Linked DNA regions of Mus musculus. The protein of the gene in region 5 binds, or shares a complex with, the protein of the main gene of each other region. Links are inferred from orthologs where the notes say so. Each region holds a gene or a part of one and is shown on either strand. Other genes may lie near its edges.

Region 1 (4,024 bases), on a different chromosome or scaffold from region 5:
AGTAATGGAAGAGAATGTAAAACAAGCCCACAAGGGCTCAGGGACACAGGCTAAGACACAGGTATCCCCACAGCCTAATCATGTTCCTCTTCTTGCCTATAAACTCCTGACTTTGACTGAATTGTAAATGGATTGTTCTAGACCCTGCCCATCTATGTCATCAATTCCTATGCTATCAGGTCCCATGGGCCCTCTGACAGGCAGAAGGACATCACCTGCATCTGCCCACTGCAGCCTGGCTGCCAGCAGCTTCCAGCAGCTTCTAGAACCATCTATGTTCTATATCGCCCCATTTACTGGGCTTTCCACTTACAACCTAGAGCCAGCGAGGCTAGAAAACCAGGGGAGACAAACAAGAAAGCAATGAGGGCCCAGAAGGAATGATACCTCTTCCAAGTCGGTGTATCTATCCGAGTCAGTGTAAGTGAAGATTCGCCGGTTTTTCCTGCCGCCAGAATTCTCCAGTTTCAAGATCTCTTGGCGGTACTGATGATCCAGTGGGCTCTGGCACGCGGATTCATTTTGGTACAGGTCGACTTCAAACTGAGGTCACCACAAAGAAACAGATCAGCTGGGACTACCTCAAACTTCGGTTCCTGCAGCTACTGAACCAAATCACTTCTAGCGCTAGCTGACACGTTTTGAAAACCGACTGTCACTTTGTTCAAAAAATGAAGGGCAGGGGGAAAAAAATCTAAGAATATTCGAGTTAAAAGGATCCAAGCTGATGTTCTAATCCAACCTTGTTGCTAGAGATGTTATAGAGCCCGGAGATGGGGAGTGCCTTACCTAGAACGCTAAACTGAACATGGCAGCCGTTATATTACAATAGCCACATAAACATAACATAAACATAAGTATAAGCCACCACAACCTTTCCTGGAGATGAGTTTGACGGTATGAGTCACTGGCCCGGTGGGAGTCAGGTAGGTGGAGGTAGACTGAAGACAAGAAATGCTGGCTCACCTGGCTAAAGAGCTTTTCCTGCCATCCAATTACAACCTCTTCCTCCTCTTCTTCGTCAGGGCGGTGTCCACCTCCAAACACAACAGAGTGAGTCAGACCAGCAACATTTCTTCCTCTCTGGTTGATTACAACCAGTGTTCCTATTCTTGTCTCATTTGGGTTTTAAAATTTTTTGCTATTGTTGTTTGGAAGTGTCTCATTCTGCAGCCCGGTCTGACCTCACATTCCAGATCCTCCTGCCTCGGCAGAAAAACGCTGACATTACACGTGTATACCACCAGGTCTGCCTTCAAAGTCCCTACTCACATTGACCGCAAACCCCACTGGAATTTAGTGACTCACTAAGCGCTCACTCTAAACATAGAATGCAGGTGGTGGACATACTTTGGTTAATACTAGAAGCAAGATTAGGGCCTGAGGTGTCCTAATCATTACTCTAATTTGAATAAAAGGTAGCTCTGCCTTCCAAGAAACATTCTCTAGTCCCGTATAAGGCACTAGAGTTTAGCTAGAGGCTGAAGGGCCAGCCCTTCCTCAATCCTGGCTGAATTTGCTAGATAAGGACCCTGATGTTTTTCTGAAACCACCACCGAATCATCCAGAAACACAAGATGCATGATTTGTGATCTGCCAGGCTACCCTTTTTGCCTAAGAATATTTCTGAGTAGAAAGAACAATGACAAAAGCATGAAAAATTATTGGCCAAACACGACGGTCCTGTCCTTTCTTTTGGCTTTCAAGGCAAGAGGAAAAAATCATATTTTCGTGCAAACTCCTGTTTTAAAATTGTTTTTTAAGTGTATTTATACATACATTTGGAGTTTGGAACATATTTCTCTTAGAAGTCCTTTCCCCATCCCCCAAGTCACAACTCGGGTAAGATGGCTCAAGCCCCAGGATTCATCTGGTGAAGAGATAACTGAACTGGTTCGCAAAAGTTATCCCCTGAACTTCACTCTCGCACTGTGGCATGGGCGTGCACACACACACAAAAGTAAATTACAATGTAAAAAAATAAATAAATAATAAAAAATTAAAAAGATGATTGCCCAGGTTCATTCAAATGCTTCTATATTCCTCGGCTAGGTGACACTGGGCAATAAACTCAACCTCTCTGAGCCTTCCGTTCCTCCTCTGTACCTCTACTGCCCCGCACCCCTGCCTTAGTCTCAAATGAATGTAGCGTCATCACAAACACCCACTAGCAGCTTGCGGAGGCCTAAAAGTGGCCAAGTCTATGAGGTCCTTCCCCATCTGGGCAGCAGGCTGGTAATGAAGGAAGTTGCTTGATGTGATTCTTTGCAGATGAACTCTGTCAAGAGAAGAGAAGCCCCAAATACGCGTGTCAGAGACACACAGCAAGGAGATATACAGAGCATGAATCGGGGAAAGAAATCACAGAGGCAGAGAAGTCAAGGCTGCTGCAAAGAAGAGGTGGGTAGGGGCGTCTGCTGGATAAATCAGCACAGGGACCCGAGGGGTTTGAAAGTGGCGAGAACTTGAAGGGACTTGGGCAGGGTGAATCTGAAAGGTGTACTTGGAAGCTTTCAGTGGAAAAAGATCCTGATAACAAGACGCGCGCAGAGATGGCAGAGGAAGTAGTTGGGATTGTAAGCGGAAGTAGGGGCCTCTGAGCATCTAAAAGCTTAGGGTGGAATAAAGTTAGGGGGCCTCGGAGCATAAAGTTAGGGGGCCCTGAAACTGGGGTCGAGTGACTACCGGAGGCGCAGGTTGCGCACGGGGTCCCGGGAGCGATACACGGCCTCGCCGGTGTCAGTGCTCCAGACCGCTTCCGCCATGACAGCTGCTTCGCGCTGCGACCGCGCCGGAAAGCGTGGTGCCTCGTTCCCCTGGCAACGGAGACGCTGGCTTCTTAGGCAAGGGAGGCGCTGCGCGCGCAGCTCTCCACGTCTGCGGGAGCCAGTCCCTAGCCTGGCAGCGGGACCCTCAGCTGTCCTGTGTGAGTAAAGCTCACCTCCACCCAAGGTGAAAGTTGGTGCACTGCACAAAAGAGAAAACCGCCATCAGCTACTTTGTTTAGGTGCAAAAATGGTGATGGTGGCCAGAACCAGGTGACCTGAGTCCTTACTTTCTGATCAAACACTGCCTTCCACTGAACATTTGAAAACTTCGGCCTAGGGGGCGTGGAGAAATGGCTTAGTGGTTAAGAGGTTAGTGACTGGACTTTCAGAGGAACTAGCAGGCCCAGATGGCCACTCACACCTGTCTCTACTCCAGTTCCAAAGGGTCAGACACCTTGCCGCCTTACAGTACACATGTGTTGCACAAACATGTTCACCATTATGCATAAAATAAATTTAAAAAAATTTAAGGAGAGAAAACTCAGGCCTAAACAGTTGGTGGATATGACTAAAAGGACATGCAAACAAAAATTAAAAAACAGCCGGGCAGTGGTAGCGCACGCCTTTAATCCCAGCACTTGAGAGGCAGAGGCAGGCAGATTGCTGAGTTCGAGGCCAGCCTGGTCTACAGAGTGAGTTCCAGGACAGCCAGGGCTATACAGAGAAACCCTGTCTCAGGAAAAAGAAAAGAAAAGACAGGAAAAGAAAAGAGAAAGAAGAAGGAGGAGGAGGAGGAGGAGGAGGAGGAGGAGGAGGAGGAGGAGGAGGAGGAGGAGGAGGAGGAGGAGGAGAAGAAGAAGAAGAAGAAGAAGAAGAAGAAGAAGAAGAAGAAGAAGAAGAAGAAGAAGAAGAAGAAGAAGAAGAAGAAGAAGAGAAAGAAAGAAAAAGAAAAAAAGAAAGAAAACATTCCTGGAAGAAAAAAAACCTGTGGGGCAGGTATATTAGTAGTTTTGTTGGTATGCACTGAGCCAGAGAAATAAAAAACAAGGAAGCCAGCAGAAAGGAAGGAAAGGGTGTTTTCCCTGGGGCATGTTGGTTCTGGATTATTAACCAGTTAAGACTCCGAGCCAGCCCCTGAAAAACCACCAGAGTGACATTCAGAAGTCATGGTTCACTGGCACATCCAAGGAAAGATGGTATAAGTTTAATTCCGGCAGTTTGGCAATATCAATATTGACAATTAGTATTTGACGGTT
Region 2 (3,500 bases), on a different chromosome or scaffold from region 5:
GAGGAGCAGGATCATTCGACTGGGCTGCATCTAACTGTGTGGCAGTACTTGCTCTGAAGGCCTACAGGGAGACGACACAGCAGAAGCCAAGGGTCAGGCTGCTCTGTCTGTCTAGCACATGGATGGAAGTCTGCTTCTTCTCCTTCTAGGGGACACTCTCCGTGGGTGGCTGTCAGAAAATACCACTCATCTCTTGGCACCCACTTCCTGTGCTGTGAGTGACAGGAAGAAGAGGAGGCAGGCTCCATGTCCACTTGGCTGCAGTTATGGCTAGACAGTCACTGTCACTTGTCACTTTGGATAAGCACATTCCCCCCAGGTCTTCAGTCATGAGGGGACAAATGCCAAACATGGAAAGACATGGGAATGAGATGATGAGGTTTAGCTGACAGAGCTATGAGTGGGCTTGTTATCCCGAGAACAGCATGCACTCAGGAGCATGGGGGACCAACACACTCGCCTGAGCTGACTGCTCGGGTTAAAAATAAAGATCCTGTATTCATGCAAATCTTCTAAGTAAAAATAAAAAAGAAAAAGGAAATGGAAAACCACAGGTAACATTTAAAAATGAGACTCATTTTTAGCCATTACTCTACTAGGAAATAAACGTGCATGCACAAACATGCACACAAAACACACACACAACTTGGATCTCTCTGACTACAAGGCATCTTTGAAGTGTAAGATAAAGGCAGCTACAGAGCAAATTCTTGAAGACAGTGTGTGTGCCCAGGATCTATAAAGTTGCCTGTAAATCAGCCCTGGGGTTTGAATTATTCACACAGTCAACACAGAAGCTGGGTGCTTTAAATGGAGCTGAGTGAGGAGGTGCTCTTCCACACAGTAACTTTTAAAATCTAATCCAAATACTTACAGTTTGAAATATGGATGCAGAAGACGGAAGGATTGATCTGATCAATGAGTTTAAAGTCACGGTGAGGTGGGTCTGCTGTCAAATTCATTGAGTAGAAGGCTGCCTTCTGACTACAAAACTGCCTGTCACCCCTGAAAGTCAAAGAAAGCAACAGCAAGTTTTCAGTCCACAATCTAAGCCAGATCACCCTACATTTCTCAGATGCCTTCACTACAGAAATACGACTAAGGGACACTGATGAAGGTGTCAGGTCAGCAGAGACTCCATGTGGCTTTACTTGCGGGTACGAGGGTGGTCCTGAGGCTTTGATTCTGTCTGCTGTGGCAGTGCACGGCTTTAATCCCAGCACCAGGGTGGTCCGGACAAGTGAGTCTAGGAGTTCAGATCTATACAGCAAGTTCCACATTAGTCAGTGCCATACAGTGAGACCCTAACTCGGAAAATACAACAACAACAACACTGTTTAAGGGAAGCCTGCTGGGTGTGGAGTAAAGTGCAGAACACTTTCCATTGAGATCATGACATTCTGGGAGCTGGAAAGACGGCTCGGTGGCTAAGCATTTACTGCTGTCACAGAGAACCTAGGCTCGGTTCCCAGAACACACAGCAAGCAGCTCATACCTGTAACTCCAGTCCCAGGGGCTTTGATGCTCTCTTCTGTAGGCACTGCATGTATGGTGCTGCCCATGACACACACAGATACACACAGATGTGCATGAGTGCACACACACACACACACACACACATACAAATACACATAAAAAAATAAATATAAAAACATACTAGGAAGTTTGCTTTGAGTATTTTTATTGTGTGTGTGTGTGTGTGTGTGTGTGTGTGTGTGTGACTTTTTTCCATCCCACACGTGTGGAAGTCAGAGGACAATTTACAAGGGTCAGTTCTCCTCTTATGTAGGCCCTCAAGATTAAACTCAGGCTAGCAAGAAGCGCCTTTACCCACTGAGCCACCTTGCCCTCCTCTCTTCTGCTGCATAACTTGTGGGTAACCTTCATACAGGACAGCTCAGACCATCTTTTCAGGAAGGCCTTCCCTGGCCTAGCTGAGGCGACCTCATTCCCTGGTGTTCCTCAGGCCCTGGCTCACTCACTCATCTCCCTCAGCCAACAGGAAGCTCTTAAAAGTTGTATGGGTGTCCAGGCCGTGGTGGTGCAATGGTGCACACCTTTAATCCCAGCACTTGGGAGGCAGAGCTAAGTGGATCTCTGAGTTTGAGGCCAACCTGGTCTATATATAAGTTCTAGGACAACCAGGGCTATACAGTGAAACCCTGTCTTAAAAAAATATTCAATTTAATAAATGGCACTCAATTCAAAAGCCGCCATTCTCTCAGGGCTGTCAGGGCTCGCTTGCAGTTTCAAGACAAGCGGACTGATTTTCAGGGAAGGCTAAACACGCTCTGGTCTTGGAGGCCAGGAAGGGACCCCGCTAGCACCTGCTCTCCAGGCTATTTCACAATGCTGGAGGAAATTCAGTTGCCCCATTAGGCTGATAAAATGGTTTCTCCTGGGAAGAGTCCATTGTGTTTCCAAAAGGACTAAGCATGCTAGGTGGCTGTCCTGCATTTCAGTCAGCTCCATCTGCTGGTCCCATCCTGAGAGCTTAAACCTTTCTTAAAGGGCTGTTTTGTTTTGTGTTACAAAAACCTCTGACAAACAAGCCGAGATCACTCAGAGCTGATCACATCTTCGACTTGTACTTGCGTGAGAATTCCACCTCTGCCATTTCCCATGCACTGGGAACTGAGAAGCCTTGCTTCGCTTACATCCAAAGAGACGCACACAAAGCACCCTGACTAATTCAAGTCCCCAGAGAGAGCTGATTCGGGGGCTGGGGAGGCAGCCTAGTGGGGACAGGGGCAGGGGAGGCGGCCTAGCAGGAACAGGGGCTGGGGACGCAGCCTAGTGGGGAACGTACTTGCTTCTGAAGGGTGATTTTAAAGAAGCATGATATCCAGCATGGATTTCAAAAGCAAACCAAGCCCAGGCTCTGATGTGTATCTGCAACAGGGCACCGGGCAGGGGAGGAGACAAGAGGATGCTAGCCATCTGTCAACCGGGGATCGGGGGTAGGCTAGGGGGATGATTTCTACATTCAGTGAGAGACCCCATCTCAAAAATGAAGGTGGAAAGCAATAAATGAACAGACCCATGCTTTCCACAGGCCAACATGCATGCATGCAAAGACAAGCACACCCATGCATACATGCACACATACACTATCTATCTATCTATATATATACATACATACACACACACACACTGCCATGAGACTATTTCACAGGTACAAAGAGGTGACACATTATCTGTGCACAGCTCAAATATTAATTTCCAAACTTCATAACACTCTAGAGGCAACACACACGTGTCCCTCCATCACCCACACTGTTGAGCAGCTGCACGGGACAAGTGACTGCTTCTGACAACACAGGGTTTTGCCCACAGGGCTTCTGAGGAGTGTGGAACATGATTCCTGTCCCCACATTTTATCATCCTGGCCAAACGGCCATCAAACCTCCCTGTCGTATGCTTACGTGACAATGTCGTATGCTTACGTGACAACTGGGACTGAGCAGGCAGAGAAGATGCTGAAATCTGCAGGGCTGCAG
Region 3 (4,099 bases), on a different chromosome or scaffold from region 5:
GGCAGAGTTCCTGAGTCCTGGGTCCCTATGATCCTGGGAGTGTTAGAGTGCCTGGGAGTAGAGCTTCCTCTGAGTGCTGTGGGACTGGCTGTGGTGTTTTAGCCCAGGGTCTGCTCAGGGCACCAGCCCAGACCGGAAGGGACTTTAAACGTATCTTGAACCCATTTTTTTTCCTTAGTAGAAAATAATCTACTGACTCATGAAGCCAAAGTTTGCTTTCAATAAAGTAGTCAACATAAGATAATCTATTTACAGCCTATTATTTTTAATATTTAGTTATAATTGAAAAGCAACACTTTGGAGGAGTACTCTTTAAAATATCAAAATGTGTGGAAAAAATCCTATGTTGTGAAAAGTATCACCCAGTTTAACAAATGTAAATGACACAGAAACCAGATACATAAAGGACTGGATTTGTACCACACCCTGCTGTGTCTAATGGGGACCAGTGACAGACAGCCTGAGTTATTAGAGTAATCAATAACGCAAACCAAAATTTTAAGTAAATTTGAAAATACCTTTTGAAATTTATTTAACCTTGAATATAAATAAAACATGAAAATACGGAGCAGAACTGTAGTTTTGAGCCTAGAATCAAATAGATTTGACACCGTGAGGAAAAGCAGGCAGGTCATGTTCTGAAACAATGGCAAGTTTCAGCCTGCTGTCAAGACCCGGGACAGCACAGAAAGTGGGGCTGGGAGGGGCTTGTTTGTTTTTGTTTGTTTGTATGTTTGCCTCCTGGTCAGTGTTAATGTACTATTTAGTAAATTAAATACAACATATAATGGGGAAAGAGTGTTTTTACTATATTTCATATTTCACAAGCTATAAAAATAAATCTTTCTGTAGATAAAAAATGGGAGAATAATATGTATTACAAGTTTTAAAAAATATAGCAACATCAAGTCTTGGCCATATTATACTGAGTCCTTAAGTTCTGTATTCACAGATTAGATCAGAAATCTTTCATCCACTAGTGTTTTGGTTGCCAAATTCTTTTGTCCTACTGTATTTCGGATAAATCGGAAAATCTGGAAAGGCAAAACAATTAAGAAAATTAAATATGCAAATCAATTTAAAATATCTAAATTAAACTAGCTAATTTCCCAACCACTTCATATCATGAATGAGATATTTTCATTATTAGATACAATTATTTTAAAATACACATATTAGGAAATGTTTTATGAATTAATATATACTTCTCATGCTCACAAGAATATGCTTTTAAACACACAAGGAATGTAACTTCTGAAGCTATGGAAAGATCAAAAATATCTCCCTGGTAAGGGCAGAATTTGTCTATGATTCTAAATCCAGGCATAATAAACCATGGAGTAACTCATGCATTCCTCGCACAGGAGGGTTTGGGTGCCATTTCTTGAAATAGTCCACACAGTAAGGCTGTGTGCAATTGGCTACAGCCCTGGACCACATCCCCAGTGCTTGCATCTTCTATCTGAATGGGATTTAGGAAAATTCATGCTCACTCTTACTTAGTACGTGGGAGACTGGTGGCAGTTAAGTATCTTCCTAGGTGACAAAGCCACTTCTTCCTTCTACTGGATCCTAGTGTATTTTATTGACCCCAGGGACAGAGTGCACTGGGGTCTGTTGAGTGGCTCCTCTTTCCTTTGGTAGTGTTAATTATATTCTAAACATTCACCAAACCCTACTGAAAGTGGATACTCTTACCATTCTGTTAAGAAAATAAATACCCCCACTTCTAACATTTCTGCTTGAGAAGAAATCAAGATATGCTGCTAGATTTACCTCTTGTTGCAGGTATGTGAGGAAGGATGCTAAAACAAAGTCCTGGCAAGCCAAATCCACAACACAGAAGAACAACAGATCAAAGATGAGGAGCGTGGCCTCGTTCCCATAATACAGCACACTGCTGAAAGAATGGCCTTCATCTACAAAAAACATGTGCAAGATGTGTCAAACAGTGTCAGAAAAGGTCTGTGCTACCCTCTGGTGACAGCAGATTAAACATGAAGTATGTTATGGCTCACACTAAAGTAAAAGGTGTTAAAATTGCCAGTCTAAAATTCAGTCAAAGCACTCACAAAAACTCAAAAGTAGTAGTTTTAACATCAAAGCAAATGTTGATAATTGCTATGGTGTGCATATGCTAAGAATGACTTTAAAGAGAAGTTAGCGAATATTCATCCTCTGCATGTAGAAGTAAAGGCTAAAATAATCTTAGAGATAGTGTCTAAGATAAAGAACAAAAGATAAAAATCCAAGTCATAGCACCAGCATTTGAGAATTCCCGTGTCAGTTATCTATAGTTTTGTCCTCTTTGCATTCAACACACAATTCTGTTCTTTTTTTTTTTTTTTTGGTTCTTCGAGACAGGGTTTCTCTGCATAGCCCTGGCTGTCCTGGAACTCACTTTGTAGACCAGGCTGGCCTCGAACTCAGAAATCCGCCTGCCTCTGCCTCCCAAGTGCTGGGATTAAAGGTGTGTGCCACCACGCCCGGCAATTCTGTTCTTTTGACAATCTGAACACCTTTTAAAAATACCTTGTAAGTGCTATAGACCCTGTTACCATGGAAAATAAACAAAAAAATCCAAATGTGCACTGACCCTTCCTCCCAAGAGCTGCTGTGTTACATTTCCTTAATGACACCTTTTCCTACATGTCTCAAATTATCTTCAGGTGCAACACAATCTTTGTCCTTTCTCTCAAACCTTGTCTTCCTCCTGCATACCCTGATTAAGGAAAAGCATCACTACTAATTACATCTAGACATCTAGGTAATTTTTGTCTTCTACTCTTCTCTTTTAAAAAAGTCATGGGTGATGGTGGTAGTAGTGATGTGTACCAAACACCCTTTCCTAGTGTATCCTAACAACTTCTACTAGAGTACCCTAACACTATCTCTGTGTACCCTAACACCTTCTTCTACTGAACCCAACAACCTATCTTAGTATACTCAAGACCATTTCTTAGTGTACCCTAACACCCTCTCCCAGTGTACCCTAATACCCTTTCCTAGTGTACCCTAACTCCCTCTACCAGTGTACCCTAATACCCTTTCCTAGTGTACCCTAACTCCCTGTACCAGTGTACCCTAACACCCTCTCCCAGTGTACCCAACCCCCTTTCTTAACGTGTACCCTAACACCCTCTCCCAGTGTACCCTAACACCCTCTCCCAGTGTACCCTAACACCCTCTCCTAGTGTACCCTAACACCGTCTCCCAGTGTACCCTAACACTGTCTCCCAGTGTACCCTAACACCCTCTCCCAGTGTACCCAACCCCCTCTCTTAACGTGTACCCTAACACCCCTAACCCAGCACCTACCCCTAACAGGCTCTGCTTTAAGTTCTTTGCATGTGATAATTCCATAAAACCTTTAGAAGGTCTTACTAAAGGTCACACTTTACAGAGAAAGGGGCTTTAAAAGATCAGAAAGGTTAAGCAACATTTTGAAGTTCACAAAGATAGTGAGTGTGGAGTTGGGTTTTAAACTAAAGGCTAGAAGTCTTTGAAACTATCTTCCCAATGGCTGGCTCATCTCTTTAACTCAGCCTGCGCCATGCTGCCATGGTAACTCACCCACCCTCTACACTGGACCAGTGTACACACTTCAGTAGCCATTCCATTAGCAGTGGCTTTCACTATGTGTCCTCACCAAAATCAAATGCTGCTAAGATACTCTCAAATTAGACAGATCTTTTTACCTTTAAAAACACAGGTTAAGAATAATGAAATGACACATTTATGAAGTAATTTTAGTATTTCATACCTCCATGGATCAATTTACATATAGCTGATGGTGCAAATTAAATATTATTTCTATAATATAAAGAGAAACTCACAAAACAAATTCTTTTAGAATTGGGAACAAAACACTCATGGAAGGAGTTAAAAATTCTCTTTTAAAATGGGGCTTGAAAGATGGCTCCACAGCTAAGAGCACTGGTTGCTCTTTCAGAGACCTGGGCTTGATTCCTAGCACCCATTGACGTGGCTCACAACTGTCTTGTAACTGGGGGCTCCAATGTCCTCATCTGGCTCTGGTAGGTACCAGGCACATACACGGCACACTGACATATATCAAGCAAAATACCTATAGACATAA
Region 4 (4,066 bases), on a different chromosome or scaffold from region 5:
AAGAATTTTTTTTTTTTTTTTTGGTTTTTTTTTGAGACAGGGTTTCTCTGTGTATCCCTGGCTGTCCTGGAGCTCACTTTGTAGACCAGGCTGGCCTCGAACTCAGAAATCCGCCTGCCTCTGCCTCCCAAGTGCTGGGATTAAAGGCGTGCGCCACCACGCCCGGCAAGAATTTTTTTTTTCAAAAAGGTTTATTTATTATTATATGTAAGTGCACCATAGCTGTCTTCTGACACTACTATCTGAAGAGGGCATCAGATCTCATTACGAGTGGTTGTGAGTCACCAGGTGTTTGCTGGGATTTGAACTCAGGATCTTTGGAAGAGCAGTCAGTGCTCTTACCTGCTGAGCCATCTCACCAACCCCCTCAACAAGAATTTGATTATAAAAATTGAACCCTAAAAATACATTATAAATTTAACTACATTCTTATTTTAAATTGGTTGTTCTAAATGTAAGAATTTAGAAATTACAAATTCCTTGAGACTGTTTTTTGTTTTTCTCTGCATAGTTTTTTTTTTTTTTTTAATTGACATTTAATACTTTTAAAACAATCATGGGGTTGGAGGCTGGGAAGATGGCTCAGCGGGTAAGAGCACTGACTGCTTTTCCAGAGGTCCTGGACTTAAATCTTGCACCCACATGGCAGCTCACAACTGTCTGTAACACAAGCATACATGCAGTCATACAAGCATAAACGCCAATGCACATAAAATAAAAATAAATAAATTAATGAAAAATTCATGGTCTCTAGAAGCAAATTAAGTTTTAAGAGCAAGGCTGACTATTGTGGTCTGCTTTTTCTTGCTTTGACTTCTTAAATTATCCCAAATATAGGAATGATTTTTTTTTTTCCAAGTCGGGGTTCTTTGTAAAGGCCTGGCTCTCCTGGAACTTGATCTGAAGACCAGGCTGGCCTCGGCCCCTGCGTGCTGGGAGTACAGGCATGCACTACTACCTCTGGGCTAGGAATTTTTAAAATTTGTTAGCGCTAAGGAAAATCCACTAGGATTTTTTTCATTATTATTATTTTACTTTGGGCAACAGTACAATTCTTGATCCATTGTGGGTGTGATCTTACAGTCAGATTCGCCAAGAAGAAAACAGGAAAGTAATTACACACTAGCTAAGCTGATACTTTTAGAACCTTTAGAGCAGAAACTGTAGTCTTTTTTTTTTTTTTTTGCAAAGAGACTGAAGCAGGAATATTTCAAGATCAAAGCCAGTCTGGACTACTTAGAAAATTTCAGGATAGCCCAGGTACTTCTTGATTGCATTGTAACCAAATAAATTTTGTTGTTGTTTGTTTTAAAGGCTATGGGGATATAGCTTGAGAAGAGTGGCTGTTTAGAATGTCAGGGTTTTGATTTTATGTAGGCTCATGTCCATACTTCAACACATCAAATTTATACAATTGAAAAATCAGACCAAATGAAGAGGAACCACAAGGCACAAGGTGTGAGTTCATTAAATTTTACAAAAGTTCCAGTTAAGTTCTGTAATGAGATAAAATTTAAGTATTATATAATTGGTCAGACAAATTTTTCTGACCAATTAATTGCCTGTCTTGGCAGAGACAGTGAACTTAAACAGCTTTTCTCACGTTTGAATGTCTGGGAAAACAATATTTTCTGACACGTAAGAACCATAAGAAATTACAGGGCTGATGTCTTTACCTAGTTCTATTGCTGTCCACACCATCACGACTATCTAGGCTGCTGAGGCTCTAAAGAACTTCAGAACAAATGTCACCCCCGCCCCCCCCACACACACTTTTTTTCCCAGAGACTTTGTATTATTCGATTTTAGTGCCCCGTACGGCTCACACTTTGAATCGGAAACACGAAATCCTAATTTTACAGGCTTTTCTCCATATAGCGTAAATTACACGAATGACCAAGGTGACAACATGCAATGATGGCAAGTGGTTTGCTTTTCAATGCCCTATTTAAGAAATAAAAATAAAAATAAGAAAGCCCAAACCAAGCCATCGAAAGGATTTCCAATTCCTTGATTTCAAAGGAGACAACCATGTATGCTGTCCTCCTGATTGAGGAGGCAGAAGCTGGAGTTAACTCGTTGGTATTTCGTTTTTAGATTTCGGGAGGAGAGTTTTTTATACAGGGAGAAAGAAGGAACAGGCAGAGGAAGGCCTTGTCGGTTTGGCAGCAGCCGGTCTTGCTCTGCTAGGAGGGGTTTGGACACAGCCCGGTTTTGTGTGAGCCGGCGGCTGTCACGCTGGGGACTCAGCGGGGACCCGCGTGGGGAAGAAGGCGTTCCTGATCCGCATCCTGATCCGCTCGGCGACCGCGCCACCGGGTGCAGTAGCTGCGGCGGCGGAAGCGCGTGGTCTCCCGGGTCCGCCGCAGGGCCGTGGTTTCTCCCGGGGCACAGAGCCCTGGCTGAAGCCGGAGCAGCCATCTTTCACCCGGGCACGGCCTGTGCGGCCTCCCGCCCGCGAGCCACACCCCCGCGTGGGCCTGCGCCCTCGCCACTCACCGGCCGCATCACTGGACTCTGGCCCGGTGCGGCTGGAGTCGCCGAACACGGTGAGGCTGAGGTTGCTCAGGCGCTGGCGAACAGGGTCCGGCAGCTCCATGCCTGGCCTGCCCGCTGGCCTCTCACACACCCGCTAGTCGGCGGGCACAGCGGCGCGTGGCGGTTCCCTTGGCAACCGGGCAGTGCGGGGCCCCTAGGGACCTGGTACCTGGGCTTCCCCGAACGCTACAGAATCCTCCAGAGGCTTCCCCTTGGAGAGGCGAGCCAGGGCCACGGGCCCGCAGCCTAACGTGGCCTAGTGCTGCTGAAAATGGCGGGTTCCTCCGTCTTGCTTTAAAGCCGCGTCGTCTTAAGATGATCACAAGTAATAAGCCATTCGGACCTGGGCTGAGCCACAAGGAGCTCTCACACCATAGCAATTCCTCTGCAAAATTGGTGCACCATTTCTTGAGGGAAATGGAAAACGAACATAGATATTTTAAAAAAATGCCCTTGACATTCTTTTTATTATTATTAGATATTTTCTTTATATACATTTCAAATGCTATCCCGAAAGTTCCCTATACCCTCCCTCTGCCCTCCTCCCCTACCCACCCACTCCCACTTCTTGGCCCTGACATTCCTCTGTACTGGGGCATATAAAGTTTGCAGTACCAAGGGGCCTCTCTTCCCAATGATGGCCAACTAGGCCATCTTCTGCTACATATGCAGCTAGAGACATGAGCTCTGGGGGTACTGGTTAGTTCATATTGTTGTTCCACCTATAGGGTTGCAGACCCCTTCAGCTCCTTGGGTGCTTTCTCTGGCTTCTCCATTGGGGGCCCTGTGTTCCATTTTATAGATGACTGTGAACATCCACTTCTGTATTTGCCAGGCACTGGCATAGACTCATATGAGACAGCTATGACAGGGTCCCTTCAGCAAAATCTTGCTGGCATATGCAATAATGTCTGGGTTTGGTGGCTGATTATGGGATGGATCTCTGGGTGGGGTATTCTCTGGAAAGTCCATCCTTTCGTCTTAGCTCCAAACTTTGTCTCTGTAACTCCTTTCATGGGTATTTTGTTCCCTATTAGAAGGAGGAATGAAGTATCCACCCATTGGTCTTCCCTCTTCTTGATTTTCTTGTGTTTTGCAAATTGTATCTTGGGTGTTCTATGTTTCTGGGCTGATATCCACTTATCAGTGAGTGCATATCTAATGACTTCTTTTGTGATTGGGTTACCTCACTAAGGATGTTCCTCAGAAAATTGCCCTTGACATTCTTAAGAGGGTGGATGAGCCAAGCATACCTGCTTCAGAAGACAGGGAAATAACTTAAAAGTATTGAAAGCAGTTGTTTCTGGAATATAGGTGATTTTAAAACTAAAAATATCAGCCTTTCCCTGCTTTCTCTTAAGACATATCATTTTAGCATTTAGAAGGCAGAGACAGGAGATCTCCAGTTTAAGGTTAGCCTGGGATACATTGCAAAATCCTCAAAAACCAAAACAAACCATTAGGTGTAATAGACATAAAGAAAAGCACAGTCGGATGTATTAGGTCCCAGGTCAGTCAACAGTATCAT
Region 5 (4,241 bases):
CTAGGGTTCTGAATAGCTCGGGTGAGGCCTCAAATGCACTGCTCTAGGGGAGGCTGTACCAGAAAAGGGACCCACAAAGTACAGGGAGCAGACAGCCATGGTGTTCCAAGCCCAGCTCCTCTTAGTTTGACTGCCCCTCCCCATCCTGTCATCCTGTACCCACCTTGGAGACCTTTAGTAGCGAAGTGCAGGTCAATGGGGTGGGACCAGTAAGCCATGTCCCCTATCTGGGGTGTGTCTACCTGTGTCTGGCCTTCTCGTACACCTGAGAGGAGCTTCCATGCGGCCCCTGTAATGAGAACCAGGACATCAGGGTTTGGGGGATAGCAACCTTCAAGAAGGGGACCTGCCGTGGCAATGAGTTTGTTCCCTCTGGTATCTGGGAGTGGGAGTTACACAGTGTAGACTCTAGAGCCAAGTGTCTGGATCCAGATCTTGGCACTGGCAGTGTACATCTGAAATCTCAGCACTTGGGAGTTTGTTTGGGGCTTTCTTGGGCTGCCTGATGAGTGTCAGGTCAGCATGGGCTACAATGTGGGTCTCAGTCTCTAAAGAAAAATTGGAGGGGTTGAAGAGCACGTGAGAGAGAATAAAGCCAGGCAGTGGTGGTGCACACAGTTGGTCTTAGCCCTGGGGAGGCAGAGGCAGGCTGATCTCTGTGACTTCAAAGCCAGCCTGGTCTACAGAAGGAGTTCCCAGGGCTGCCAGGGCTACACAGAGAATCCCGTGTAGAAATCCTGGCACGATTCATATATGTGTTCTGTATTTTGCAGTGTTAGGGATGGAACCTAGAGCAGTACATATGCAAGAGCTCTCTAGCAACAGTCTACACTCCCCAGCCCAAGTTGATGCAACCCTGGCAGAGTAGCTTCTCTCTGTTTCCCTGTCTATAAAACAAGCGACAAAAAACACAATCTCACAAGTTATGAGAGGACTCACATAGCAAGGATGAACTATGAATTTTTAAAATATTATTCACTTGTTAATCCTCATGACTGCAGCTGGCGATGTGATCCAGAGGCACACGCTCTATGCTCTGCTGATGAGCTGCACTCTCAGCACCAACAGAGAGCCTCCTTTCTTAAGACAAGGTCTCATATAGCCAAGGCTAGCCTCAAACCTCTGTCGTAGCTAAGGATGACCTACGCTCCCCGGGTGACGAGATCCCCAGCATTTTCCTTCCTCTATGCACCCCACATTCAGAAGCCTCCGTCAAAGACCAAGAAGAGACTGGGCACCATCTGCGAGCACATCACAACCCCAGTGAGGAGCAAGGAGAAGCAGTGCCCACATACTGAGCACTACACCCCAGATGCTCTGCTAAACGCTCTGGGCAATGCCTTCACCTTATCTGCTCTCTGGGATTCTAACTGCCCCCTCCCAACACACACACACACACACACACACACACACACACACACACACACACACACGAAGCTTTCAGACTCCTCACTGTTGCCACGAAGGCCCATGTGTGACCTGGATCCTGTCACTCATCTGCCACTGCCGCTCCCCACCCTCAAGCCTCACTGGTCCCATCCTGTTCCCTTGCCTCAAGGCCTTGGCAGCGGCTGTTCCTTTTGCCCTGAAACGTCTGCTACTGGGTGCCCATTTCCGGCTGTTTTCCTCCTGCCCCCCAATTCAAGTGCCACTTGCACAGAAAGGCTTTCTCTGATCTCAGACCTCCACATCCCAAATCAGCCCCCAGCACATCACTTTCTTTTTTTCCCTAGAACTTACAATAATCTTGTATATATTTTGTGCTCTTTTCTTTGAGACAGGGCCCCAAACTTGTAATAGAAGGCTTCCTAGGTGCTGGAATTACAGATATGCATAAGCACACCTAGTTTGTCTACTGGCCTGAGGACAGGAAGTGTGTGTGTGTGTGTGTGTGTGTGTGTGTGTGTGTGCGCGCGTGTTTTCTATGTCACAGCCCCATATGCTTAGGGGCTATGTTTTCCGATGGTGAGATAACATGAAAGACAAGGATAAAGAGAAGCAAACAGTATGAGTTCATTGGAGAATCGAGGAAGGAACATGGAGACTTAGGCTAGGGGAGGGAGCTGGGTATTGTTTGGGAGATGAACAAGGTGTGAGGAGGATACCTGTGTGGATGCCCCACTTGCAAAAGAGGCTGCTTTCCGAGAAACCGGTGGCCCCTATGATCTGCCCGATCACGTGCACTTCAGCCATGGCTCTAGGAAAGGAAAAATTCAATCACAACCCTGTGAGGTAACTGTATTATTTCCATCTGACAGCTGGGAAAACTGAAGCCTATCACATAAAGAACAGCACTGTGATTCTAAGCTAGTTCCACCAACCCACTGACAATGTGGCCTTCATCACAGATACAAGCCACGTCCCCAGAAAAGCCCAAGAAAAATGGGGAAGTCTCCCAGAGGTGTGGGAACCTGCACCAATAAATAAACCAAGGCTCAGACGCTTAGAAAGCCCCGCCCCAGGGTTGTGGCCCCGCCCACATGTGCAAGGCCCCGCCCCTTCGCGGCAGATCAGCCAAGCTTCAAAAGGCGCATGCGTCTCGTCTCGGGTGTAGGGCCGCTTTACCCTTGCCCGTAGGCGTAGCGCATGCGTCATTCCTACCTCCGCGTACTTGACCGTTAGAAGTGAAAGCTGCCTCGGGGATGGTAGTTCACGGGCTTCTTTGCGGGCGCCGTCGAGACTAGTCTCGCTCCCCTCCCGGGCCCTTCCAGGCGGAGGGAGATCTGAGGTAGATAGATCCGCAGCCTCGCTCTCCTGGGGTGCCCCGACTGTTGCTGGGGCAACAGCAGGTTCCTCCCCTGAGCCCGCCCTGCGTGCTGATGATTGGTGCTATAGCTGCCCTCTGGGGGGCGGGGCGTAGTCGTGATGGACGCGGTCATTCGGGACTTTTTTGCGAGAATTGCATAGGTCTTGCTCCTGCGACGCCTTACGCCCCAGAGTGGGAGGCCTGGCGGGTTATCTCTATCAGCAGTTGAGGAAGTTAGAACGCCAACTGTTTCCTCTCCATATCTTCTTCACGCAATAAGCAAATCTATTGATGCTCTTTGCTTCCTCAAAACAAAACACCTTTCCTGTTCAGGATCACAGCCAGAATGGAGCCAGCCGACACTAAACGGGCACCTAAAGGGACTCCCATAGTAGTCATCTCTATGTTGTAGCTGGAGGGGAAAAAAGGACCTCCATATTCTGACACTAGAGAAATTGGGAAGTGGGTTTCTCTTCAGTTTTCAGAGCTTCCTCAGATTTCTCAAGGACTGAGAAGTCCAAGTTCTTTCTCAGAGTCACTGCAAAGTTCATTCTAGCAGCTGGTTTTGAACAAACAGGTTGGAGTAAAGATAAATGAGGAAGACGGGGCTGGAGAGATGGTGCAACAAGAGCGCTTGCCTCACTTCCAGAGAACTGGAGTTCGGTTCCCAGCATTCTGTAACTCCAGCTCCAACTCTGCCCTCTTCTGGCGTCCCAGAGGACACTTCCCACCCTCAACCCCTGCCCCGCGCACAGGTGGCATACACAAATAATAAAAATAAATCCTACAAAAGGAAGGAAGAAGCCCCTTTGGCAGGAAGTCAGGGAAGAAAGCCTCTCTCCTTTATATATATATATTTTTTTCCCAAGTCGGAAACAAATTTTAAAAATTTTATGATGAGTATTGTGGCTCATGAGAGACTGAGGCAGGAGGAATGCTGCAAATTTAAAGCCAGCCTGGGCTATTAAGTGAGTTCCAGGCCAATCCCCCTTAAACAAACAAACTAAAACTAAAACAAGAACTTAAGTCGTGTGTGTGTGTGTGTGTGTGTGTGTGGTGTGTTCAGGTGTATGGGTGGTTGTTTGTATGGTGCATATGTAGAGGCCAGAAGATAGCTCGTCTGTGTGGTGTGTGTGTGTGTGTGTGTGTGTGTGTGTGTGTGTGTGTGGTGTGTTCAGGTGTATGGGTGGTTGTTTGTATGGTGCATATGTAGAGGCCAGAAGCTAGCTCACCAACCTCCAAGGTTGTCCCTAGAAGCTATCCACTTTTTTTTCCTTCCAATTTTCAGGATATGTGTTACCAACACTAACACCACTGTTTTTGTGTGCTTGCTTTTTAAACATCTGTTGTTTGCACTGGTGTTTTTCACGTATATCTGAGCACCAGGTGCATGCAGTGCCTGCCAAGGCTACAGGAGAGTATCTGGCGTTCTGGAGAGTGCATTGCAGGCAGTAGTGACCACCCAGGACACACGGTAAGAATGGAACTTGAGACC
Region 6 (4,098 bases), on a different chromosome or scaffold from region 5:
GTAAAGGTCTACCAATCAGCACATTGGAAAAGTGTGATCGCCAGGGAATCAGATAGGAGCAACCAGGATGTTGTCAGGTCCTGATTGCATGGAAATGCTAATCAGCAGATCATGCAAGCTCCAATCATCATTTTCTACTGCCCTCCGAAAGGAGGAACAGGTAAGGATTAACCTCCTGACGATAAAAGGCAGAGGGAGCCCATTGCTAAATAAGTAGAGACATTTCCTATTAAAGGAAGGGTGAGAATACGTCACTTTAGCACGAGCCCAGTGACTTACAGTTCTTGCAACGCAAGAATAATATCTATTTGCAAGTCGTTTGAAGTATTTTATTCTCCATTCGGCACAAAAAGGGAGAAACAAAACCATCCCAGAATGCTCCCCTCACACGCGGCAAATTAGAAGCGCTATGTGAGATAGTTATTTGCATATCCCCGCCCACTCACTTCCGCCTAGCTTCTAGCGTAAAAACCCAAATAGAAGCATTACTTCTAGCCCTAACCACAAGATAAAAGCCTTTATTTATACCAGCCTCTTGGCCCATCCAATGGTCTTCTGAAAAATAGTATACGCCTTGCTCTTGTTATAAAATAAATTTTATTACAAAACTCTAATAAAATTATAATCCAAGATTTGAGAGATCTTATTCCAACACTGCCATCCTCTGCTTAGCCGCAGTTGGGAGGAGCAAGGGACTTGGGCGAGAGAAAACTGAAGCCTCTGCCTTTTTCTTGCAGCAGTGGGAGGAAGCTTCATCACTTTTCCAGCCTTGGTCCCTACACCCGGATTGTGATCAGAAGGGTTTCTTTTTCAGCCCAAAGACAGCGATGAATAATGCAGTTTCAGTGACAGCTGGGAAGGCGCTGTGAAAAGTACGGGGCCGCGGGGGAGGGGGGGGAGTTAGAGCCCCTTCCAACCCAAACACTTGAACCTCCAAACCTTATATGCGGGTGGGTTAGGGTGGGTATGACTCTTCAAAACTCTACCAATTTCACATGTGCAGGAAAGGTCTAGGTGGGGGAAACCTTCAGATTTGGGATCGATTTTCCACCACCCCCCCCCATTCCAAAATATTGGGTGCTAGGGCACCTGCAGAAGGTAAAAATGTACCAGTACGTGGTACATTCCCATCGCTCGAATACGAAGAAAGACAGGGCCACAGACGCGCTACAGTGGGCTGCAATGGCTTAACAATACAGAGGGGGTCAAGGAAAGTAATCGGTTCGTGATGGGCCCCGTTGGTACCTGGACTTGGGTTCAGCTTGTACCCTTCCCTTAAGACAAGCGCCAGAGTTGGCAGCCAATGCCTTCTGAATTTATGGACAGTTATGTGTAAGAGACCAGAGCTGAGTTTGCTTTGATAGGACCTCTCCCTGTACACTCTGTACACTTCTGGGAAGGTTAATGTCATATATGCCCTAGGCCACACAAGAATACCTACAGATCTGATACACTGGGGATTTCTCCAGTGCCCTGGTCTTCCTTGTCCACAATTCAAGAGTAAAGAGCTACCTTTTTAAAAACACAAACAAACAAACAAAACAAAACAAGCCAGGCAGTGGTGGTGCATGCCTTTAATCCAGCACTTGGGAGGCAGAGGCAGGTGGATTTCGGAGTTCGAGGCCAGCCTGGTCTACTGAGTTCCAGGACAGCCTAGGTCTACATAGAGAAACCCTGTCTTAGATAACCTAAATATATAAGTAAAATAAGATTTAAAAAAACCCAAAAAATTCACCTGCCCCTGCCTCCCGTGCACTAGGATTAAAGGCTTGCAGAACCACACCTGGGCTCTATTTTCTTGGTCCCTTCTGAGTTCCCATAGTGCTTTGTATTTTACACACACCTACAAGCATACTGTTTAATCACACTGATTTACAGATGTTTGTCTGCCACCTCTTCAAACGGGATAAAATGATTTTACTCCCATCCAGGGATCGCCAGAACCTGGCTCACATCCGGATTTAACGAATGTTTGAAGTCTATTAATTCCCCAACAGTGTCTAAAACCTCTCACCTAGAGAGAGATTCGGTTTACCATGTAGAGCAGACACTTGTGCCCCAAAGGCCTACAGAGGTGGAAAGAGTGGTAACTGGGATGAGTCACCTGAGGACGATGGCCAAATAAAAAGGATACAGAGGAGGCTCTGGGTGCTATTGAACATGGAGACTCCTGAGAGGAAGCCAGCCAGCTCCACTGCAAAGAGGCCCAGGGTGAGACAGAGCGCGGCTACCAGCCTGCAGAGAGAAAAGGGCTTGGACCAAGGTTTCTGGATTCTGTTGAAGACCCCTGCACTCTCACCCCGCCCCAAGAGCTCACTGGTTGTCCTGCTTTTCGTATTCCTCCGGGGTGAATTTGAGAGGCAGGCAAGCCTGGATGTTGCTTTCCTGGCGAGCCGGGCAGAAAGAAAGAAATGTCAAAAGAGGAATGGGGCTGCGGGGACAAGTTGGGAAGGGGCCGGGGAACGGAGCAACGAACGGACCCTGTGTGAGTGGACTGAGCTGAGCTGGGTCCACTCCAAGATGAGAATGGGAGGGCCAGGAGGGCACGCGCACGCGCGCCCTGTCCGCGTCTTACCCGGGACCAGAACAACGTGATGACAACCACCAGATGAGCCAAGAGCGTCAGGAACCGAGAGGGCACGAGCCCGGAGATCCGACCCATGGCCTCGGGGGCCTCGAGTGGAGGCCGTGGGTTTTGAGGTTGGAAGTCTGGGGTGGGTCACTCATCAAGTCTCCCTGAGCAAGCAGGCCAGACCTCTCTACTTAAGTGTCCTTCCCGCGCGCTCGGGCGCCGCCCGGCTGCCATGGTAACTGCGTCCGCAAGCGCCACGCTGCTGCTTTCGGAAGTCTCGCGATAGTGCTGCTCCCTCTACCAACGTCTATAGGCGCGGTACGTGAGCCGTTGATGGACCCAAGAGGATGCAGCCAGAACCACCAAATCCTCCCTTCTCCTGTGCTTCCCACTCACTGCCTTGGGCGCTAGGAGTCGAGGGGACGAACGAGGAGAGGCTGATGCACCGAGCTTGTCCCAGGGTCAGGCTAAGTCCCCTAGCCCCTGGTTGTCAGAGGACTCCCCCTTCCGCCCTAGAGCAAAACTTTGCCGAAGAATGACTCTAATTTCTTCCTAAATAACTTGTCTCCGTGTCATGAGAGATTTGCCGAGTGCAGAAATGAGCAGCCTTGGGATGGTTAAAATTGGATGTGGGTGAGGTGACTGCCTCGGGAACCGAGGGGATCTGAAAGGGTGAAGAATGGAGCGGGGGACTGGAACTGCTTGCGCTTAGCCTAGGCTGGGACGCTGACCCACCACCGATTTCACTCTTGCTCTGAGTTGTTAGGCCCCGGACATTGCTCAGTTACAGACCAAGAACCTCTTCTTAGGGTGATGTGACCGATTTGGGGCTTCGGATGAAATCCCTGCAGATCGGAGAATCGGAAAGTTCTCAGCACTTTCCAGTTCACAATCAAGTCCCATGTCAATGGACCTCCCATCCCACTTGCACTCTCTGGTCCCTCCATTCCTTTTTCTTTGTGCCTCTAAACCAGCCCAAAAGACAAGGCTCAGGACCAGAGGGATTTCATCTATTCAACAAATATTTGATGTCTCCCAGATGCCAGGCACTGTGCCCCAAATCTGAGAGTACCTCGATAAAGTCCCTCCAGGTTATATTCTAGGTGGGGAGATTGATAACAGCCAAAACAAGAACAAAACCCAGCGAGGTAATGCGTGCTATAATTTTTTTAAATTAAAAGATAATACTAGAATAATATCAAAGGGAAGCTTTGAAAATAGATACTTCTTAAATTTTTGTTTCAAGGAATTGGCAGAGAGAGAGAGGAAGGAGGTGGAGGAGGAGGAGGAGGAGGAGGAGGAGGAAGAAGAAGAAGAAGAAGAAGAAGAAGAAGAAGAAATGATTCTGTCTCCCTAAAGTAATACATGGGGTTCCCTTTCCTAAGCCAGTTAAAGGTCATGAAAGACAGACTGGAGGTCTTCTAAATGAACGGGGGGTAGGGGGGTGTCTAACTGAACCTGAGATCCCAAACCAGGCAAAAGAATTGCCCCCCCCTCGCCCCCTTTTATTATAAAAGACTGAGGTG
Region 7 (4,033 bases), on a different chromosome or scaffold from region 5:
GTATACATATATCCATGTGTATACACATAGTAATTTATATGTGTATATGTAAAATATGTATAGCTATAATATGCATGTGTGTATGCAAATGTGTATATACATTAAAACTTCAATTAATATGTACAATAATTTAAGTGCATTAAAAATATCTGTTCTTAGACGGGCGTGGTGTCACACGTCTTTAATCCCAGCACTTGGGAGGCAGAGGCAGGCGGATTTCTGAGTTCGAGGCCATCCTGGTGTACAGAGTGAGTTCCAGGACAGCCAGGGCAACACAGAGAAACCCTGTCTCGAAAAAACAAAAAAACAAAAACAAAATATCTGTTCTTTAGGGCTACAGAGATGGATCATGGGTGGTTAAGAGCACTTGCTGACCTTCCTGAGGGCCCAGGTTCACCCACATGGCAGCTTAACAGTCTGTAACTGTAGTTCCAGAAGATCTGATGCCCTTTTCTTCTTCTTTTTAACTTTTAATTCTCACTTGGGTGTTTGTGTGTGCCTACAAAGGCCAGAAGACAACATTGGATCCCCGAAGCTGGAGTTTCAGGCAGTTGTGAGTTACCTGATGTGGATGCTCGGAACTAAACTGGGGTCCTCTTGCAAAAGCAGGAGGTTTAAAAGTCCTTTTAGACCTCTGAGCCATCTCTAGCCTAAGACCTTCTTCTGACCTCTGTGGGCACCAGACATACATGTAGTATACAGGCATACATACAGGCAAAATATCCATCGGCATAAAATAATGACTTTTAATTAAAAAATATGTATATCACAAGCCAAATATGGATACTGTACTGTATAAATCTTTCTGACTAATGCCAATATATAAAAAAAAATTTTTTTACCTTATTTTTCTTGCTTTTCTTTACTAGGTTTGAGCACATTGGCAAGTGTTGTTATTGTTTTGGTGTTTTGTTTTATTTTTTTAGCTAGGATCTATTTAAGATCTATTTAACTACGCATCCCTGTCTGCACTGGAATTCATTATGTCTAATTGAATGCATAGCCATCCCCTTGTCTCTGCCAGAGGGTACTGGGATTAAAGGCATGTGCCACCATGCTCACCTTAGCAAGGTTTTTGGTCCTCTATAATGACTTTTGTGAATTGACTGTTAGTATCCCTTACCATTCTCTCCCTTAGGTTTGTATTTTCGCACTAGGATGATATATTCTAAGTAATCAGCAGTTTTGCTCTGTTCTCTGGTGTCTAGGAACTTCTAGAGAAATCCTTGTTTAGAGAAGCGGAGGGGATCTTGAGCTCTTTAGGAATGTACTGCTTTCCTCTCTCAGAGCAAGGAGAAGACGCAGGCACTCTTGTGGCACTCAGGCAGCTGGGAGGACTGGTCTAAGATCAGTGCTACTGCCCGCTTCTAGCCTCACTCACAAACACACAGGTAAACCTTGACCTAGAATATGAAGCGGCAGCTTGAAGCCTCAGGGAAGAAGCAATGGTATATACATTACCAGATCCACTCTGATAGTGAGCCTAGGTTCTTTGTCTTGTTAATCAAGTTACAGGCTCCAGCATGTCTCATAAGCAATGGAAATATTTTCTGAACAACACTCACCGAAAAACAATCGTATGACTTCAATGCCAAGATAGAGCAGCAGCATCACCACATCCAGGACTAAGTTGGCTGTTGGGTACGGCAACAGGAGCCCTACAGGAGGGAAAGCCAGAGTATGCACACACCACCTAGCTAACGGTCAGCCCCACGGCCCCACAAGGATGGACGGCCACAAACCCGGGACAAGGATACCAACCAGTCTTAACATCTCACAAATCAGCAAGGTATAGATTGTTACAGCTACAGGCTTTAAGTTTCCAAGTCCTGACTCTGCCAAATGACTGAATTATAATGGTACACAGATCTGAATATTTTAGTAAAGAGAGATGGGGAAAGAGTTGGGATGGAGAAACCCACATTTCTCAAACTCAAGTCTTGCTGAAAGACATCCTATTTGATCATTCTAAAGCCATTAGTTGGAGAGACTTCTGCCTTGCAATGGAGATGCCGCTAGGACCAGAAGATAGAAGGTTCTTGGAGTATGCTAAAGTGGAAAAGGGTTGCTGGGGCAGAGGCAGATAGGCCCAGGCTTACCTTTGTACAGGAAAATAAGGAGCTCCAGCAGGAAATAGGTAGCATAGTACCACCCATTCAGAAAGAACAGGACTTCCAGGGGGGTTGAGGACAATCTTTTATCTGAAAGAAAGCAAAACAAAGAATGGGCAGGGCAGCTAGAGCTCTACTCTGTTCTGTGTGAAGGTTCTTTGTAATCCGGAGAAATCACAAGATTATTGTGAATGAGGGAGAAACTTCTGATTGCTAATGACGTGAGTGTTGGTGTGGCAGGAACTGCCTTCAATCTCCTTTCTCAGGAATCACTTTGACATCTACTTCTCTGACAATTCAGCTATAATCACAGCTGAGAGGCACCTCAAATATTCAACCCTGTCACTTCTGAGGGGGAAATTGAGGCACAGAAACTAATTCTGTCCAAGGCGGGAGGATTCATAACTGAGCCATCCCAGAATAGGGCCAGCCGGGGATTTTTAAGAGTACGGTATTCGAGTACCCATGCAGGCACTCGGGGTGATCAGAACAACCCAAGCCCGATTTAGACAAGTGAAGAGTAAGACCCCGACTTTTAGAAATGGAGGATTAGGTCGAGCTCTGGAGACAGAGAGGTGGAGGGGGCTGGCAGGTACCCGTGGGATAAGGGGCAGAGACACACACCTCCAGAGTCTCACCTCGCGGCGCCATGTTCAGTCCCCATGGAAACTGCGTACACTGCAGCGCCCGGAGCAATGCGGCGCTGCCGGAAGCGCGGCACCGAGCCGCCCGGTCTTCTGGCCGCTCTGCCTGCCGGTGCTACTCTATGGTTACCCCACCGGCCGCGCCCATGCACAGAACAGCGCCAGCCGTCAACCACCTACAGTGGTCTAGGGGGAGGATGGGGTTTTAAACGACGGCAGAGAGACCAGAACACTTCTCCAGCTGAACTCTCTCCATCCCCGGCGTCATGGCGTAGGTCGTTAGTGGCCCGGTGTGGCCGAGTAGTTGGAGGATCGGCCCTGCGCCCACCATTCTCTTTTCTACTGCATGTGTTTTTTTTAAAAACACCCCATGCCACTGTCGTGCAAAAGGCTTACCTGGAGCCTATGTAAACACCAAAACCGTTGAAGATAGAATGTCCTTTCTAGGAGTACAAGGGAAAACAGCGGTGCTATAATGAGATTCTCCTGCGACCCAAAGAGTGCAAGGGTGTTGAAAGGAGACAGCGTCTGGCCAGTTGGAAATTGAGAAATGTTTCCAACAAGCTTGCGCTATGAACGAACCCTGGCCGCAATTTGAAGCAAGAGCGTGTTGTTGCAGGCAGGGGGTGAAAGAGTAAGATTTCTGAAAAGACTCCAGCTGTCAGCCCTTAGAGTATGGCAGTCAGTCAACAAATAACGGGAGAGAGTAAGTAACCTGTAATGAAAGTGCTATTTCCCTACCTAGTAGGAGTGTGGATAAAGGCAGTAATTGTTGCTTCTCAAAGCAGGTCCTCACTCCGGGAGAATAATTTAAGTAGAAGCCTCCCTCCATCACTCCCCACCTCCACCTCTGCTCTCCTTCCTCCTTCACTTCTGCTTGTGCCTTCCACTGCCTTATTCAGGTCTGGTTTAGTTTGGCTAGACAGGTCTCCTATGTAGGCTAGGCAGGCCTCAAATTCTCCTGCCTCTGCTTCCCGTCCAGTACAGGGGTTTCAAGTGGGTGTCACAATGTTCTGGCAGGTCTTAAATGGAATTCTAAGTTCCCACTAAAGGACCACGGCAAGGTGAGGTGATGGAGAAAGCCCTGGTCCCTGCACCCCATCTGAACTACCTTCATACACACCCCTGCTCTGAGTCTCAGAGGAAAGGAGGGTGGACCAGTTGCTTGTTTTTGTAAATTATGGGTCTTAAATCACTCTGCCTAAACATTTTGATATTGTATACACATATAGTTCTCATGCTACAGTGAAAAGTTTACCCATTGTCAACAGAGATGAT

What was found.
Region 1: B9d2 (region 5) and Mks1 share a complex: the UniProt entries of both Homo sapiens proteins name them as parts of the tectonic-like complex. The link is inferred for Mus musculus from reciprocal best matches to the Homo sapiens genes B9D2 and MKS1.
Region 2: B9d2 (region 5) and Tctn1 share a complex: the UniProt entries of both Homo sapiens proteins name them as parts of the tectonic-like complex. The link is inferred for Mus musculus from reciprocal best matches to the Homo sapiens genes B9D2 and TCTN1.
Region 3: B9d2 (region 5) and Tmem67 share a complex: the UniProt entries of both Homo sapiens proteins name them as parts of the tectonic-like complex. The link is inferred for Mus musculus from reciprocal best matches to the Homo sapiens genes B9D2 and TMEM67.
Region 4: B9d2 (region 5) and Tmem17 share a complex: the UniProt entries of both Homo sapiens proteins name them as parts of the tectonic-like complex. The link is inferred for Mus musculus from reciprocal best matches to the Homo sapiens genes B9D2 and TMEM17.
Region 6: B9d2 (region 5) and Tmem107 share a complex: the UniProt entries of both Homo sapiens proteins name them as parts of the tectonic-like complex. The link is inferred for Mus musculus from reciprocal best matches to the Homo sapiens genes B9D2 and TMEM107.
Region 7: B9d2 (region 5) and Tmem216 share a complex: the UniProt entries of both Homo sapiens proteins name them as parts of the tectonic-like complex. The link is inferred for Mus musculus from reciprocal best matches to the Homo sapiens genes B9D2 and TMEM216.

The regions. Positions count from the first base shown.
Region 1 is NC_000077.6:87,851,991-87,856,014, reverse strand, and holds the start of Mks1 (Meckel syndrome type 1 protein homolog), read right to left. Parts: upstream 2,801-4,024; 5' UTR 2,766-2,800; coding exon 2,686-2,765; intron 2,279-2,685; coding exon 2,169-2,278; intron 1,038-2,168; coding exon 967-1,037; intron 544-966; coding exon 388-543; intron 1-387. UniProt on the Homo sapiens protein: Component of the tectonic-like complex, a complex localized at the transition zone of primary cilia and acting as a barrier that prevents diffusion of transmembrane proteins between the cilia and plasma membranes.
Region 2 is NC_000071.6:122,257,961-122,261,460, forward strand, and holds part of Tctn1 (tectonic-1 precursor), read right to left. Parts: coding exon 3,447-3,500; intron 1,006-3,446; coding exon 875-1,005; intron 1-874. UniProt on the Homo sapiens protein: Component of the tectonic-like complex, a complex localized at the transition zone of primary cilia and acting as a barrier that prevents diffusion of transmembrane proteins between the cilia and plasma membranes.
Region 3 is NC_000070.6:12,038,859-12,042,957, forward strand, and holds the end of Tmem67 (meckelin precursor), read right to left. Parts: intron 1,920-4,099; coding exon 1,777-1,919; intron 1,035-1,776; coding exon 954-1,034; 3' UTR 501-953; downstream 1-500. UniProt on the Homo sapiens protein: Required for ciliary structure and function. Part of the tectonic-like complex which is required for tissue-specific ciliogenesis and may regulate ciliary membrane composition.
Region 4 is NC_000077.6:22,511,017-22,515,082, reverse strand, and holds the start of Tmem17 (transmembrane protein 17), read right to left. Parts: upstream 2,801-4,066; 5' UTR 2,600-2,800; coding exon 2,500-2,599; intron 1-2,499. UniProt on the Homo sapiens protein: Transmembrane component of the tectonic-like complex, a complex localized at the transition zone of primary cilia and acting as a barrier that prevents diffusion of transmembrane proteins between the cilia and plasma membranes.
Region 5 is NC_000073.6:25,679,339-25,683,579, reverse strand, and holds the start of B9d2 (B9 domain-containing protein 2), read right to left. Parts: upstream 2,801-4,241; 5' UTR 2,602-2,800; intron 2,423-2,601; exon of another isoform or gene 2,198-2,422; 5' UTR 2,194-2,197; coding exon 2,106-2,193; intron 290-2,105; coding exon 164-289; intron 1-163. UniProt on the Homo sapiens protein: Component of the tectonic-like complex, a complex localized at the transition zone of primary cilia and acting as a barrier that prevents diffusion of transmembrane proteins between the cilia and plasma membranes.
Region 6 is NC_000077.6:69,069,511-69,073,608, reverse strand, and holds Tmem107 (transmembrane protein 107), read right to left. Parts: upstream 2,801-4,098; 5' UTR 2,663-2,800; coding exon 2,576-2,662; intron 2,386-2,575; coding exon 2,318-2,385; intron 2,236-2,317; coding exon 2,135-2,235; intron 1,187-2,134; coding exon 1,090-1,186; coding exon of another isoform or gene 1,011-1,089; exon of another isoform or gene 864-1,010; coding exon 794-863; 3' UTR 316-793; downstream 1-315. UniProt on the Homo sapiens protein: Plays a role in cilia formation and embryonic patterning. Requires for normal Sonic hedgehog (Shh) signaling in the neural tube and acts in combination with GLI2 and GLI3 to pattern ventral and intermediate neuronal cell types.
Region 7 is NC_000085.6:10,552,964-10,556,996, forward strand, and holds the start of Tmem216 (transmembrane protein 216), read right to left. Parts: upstream 2,801-4,033; 5' UTR 2,763-2,800; coding exon 2,750-2,762; exon of another isoform or gene 2,736-2,749; intron 2,202-2,735; coding exon 2,100-2,201; intron 1,659-2,099; coding exon 1,566-1,658; intron 1-1,565. UniProt on the Homo sapiens protein: Part of the tectonic-like complex which is required for tissue-specific ciliogenesis and may regulate ciliary membrane composition.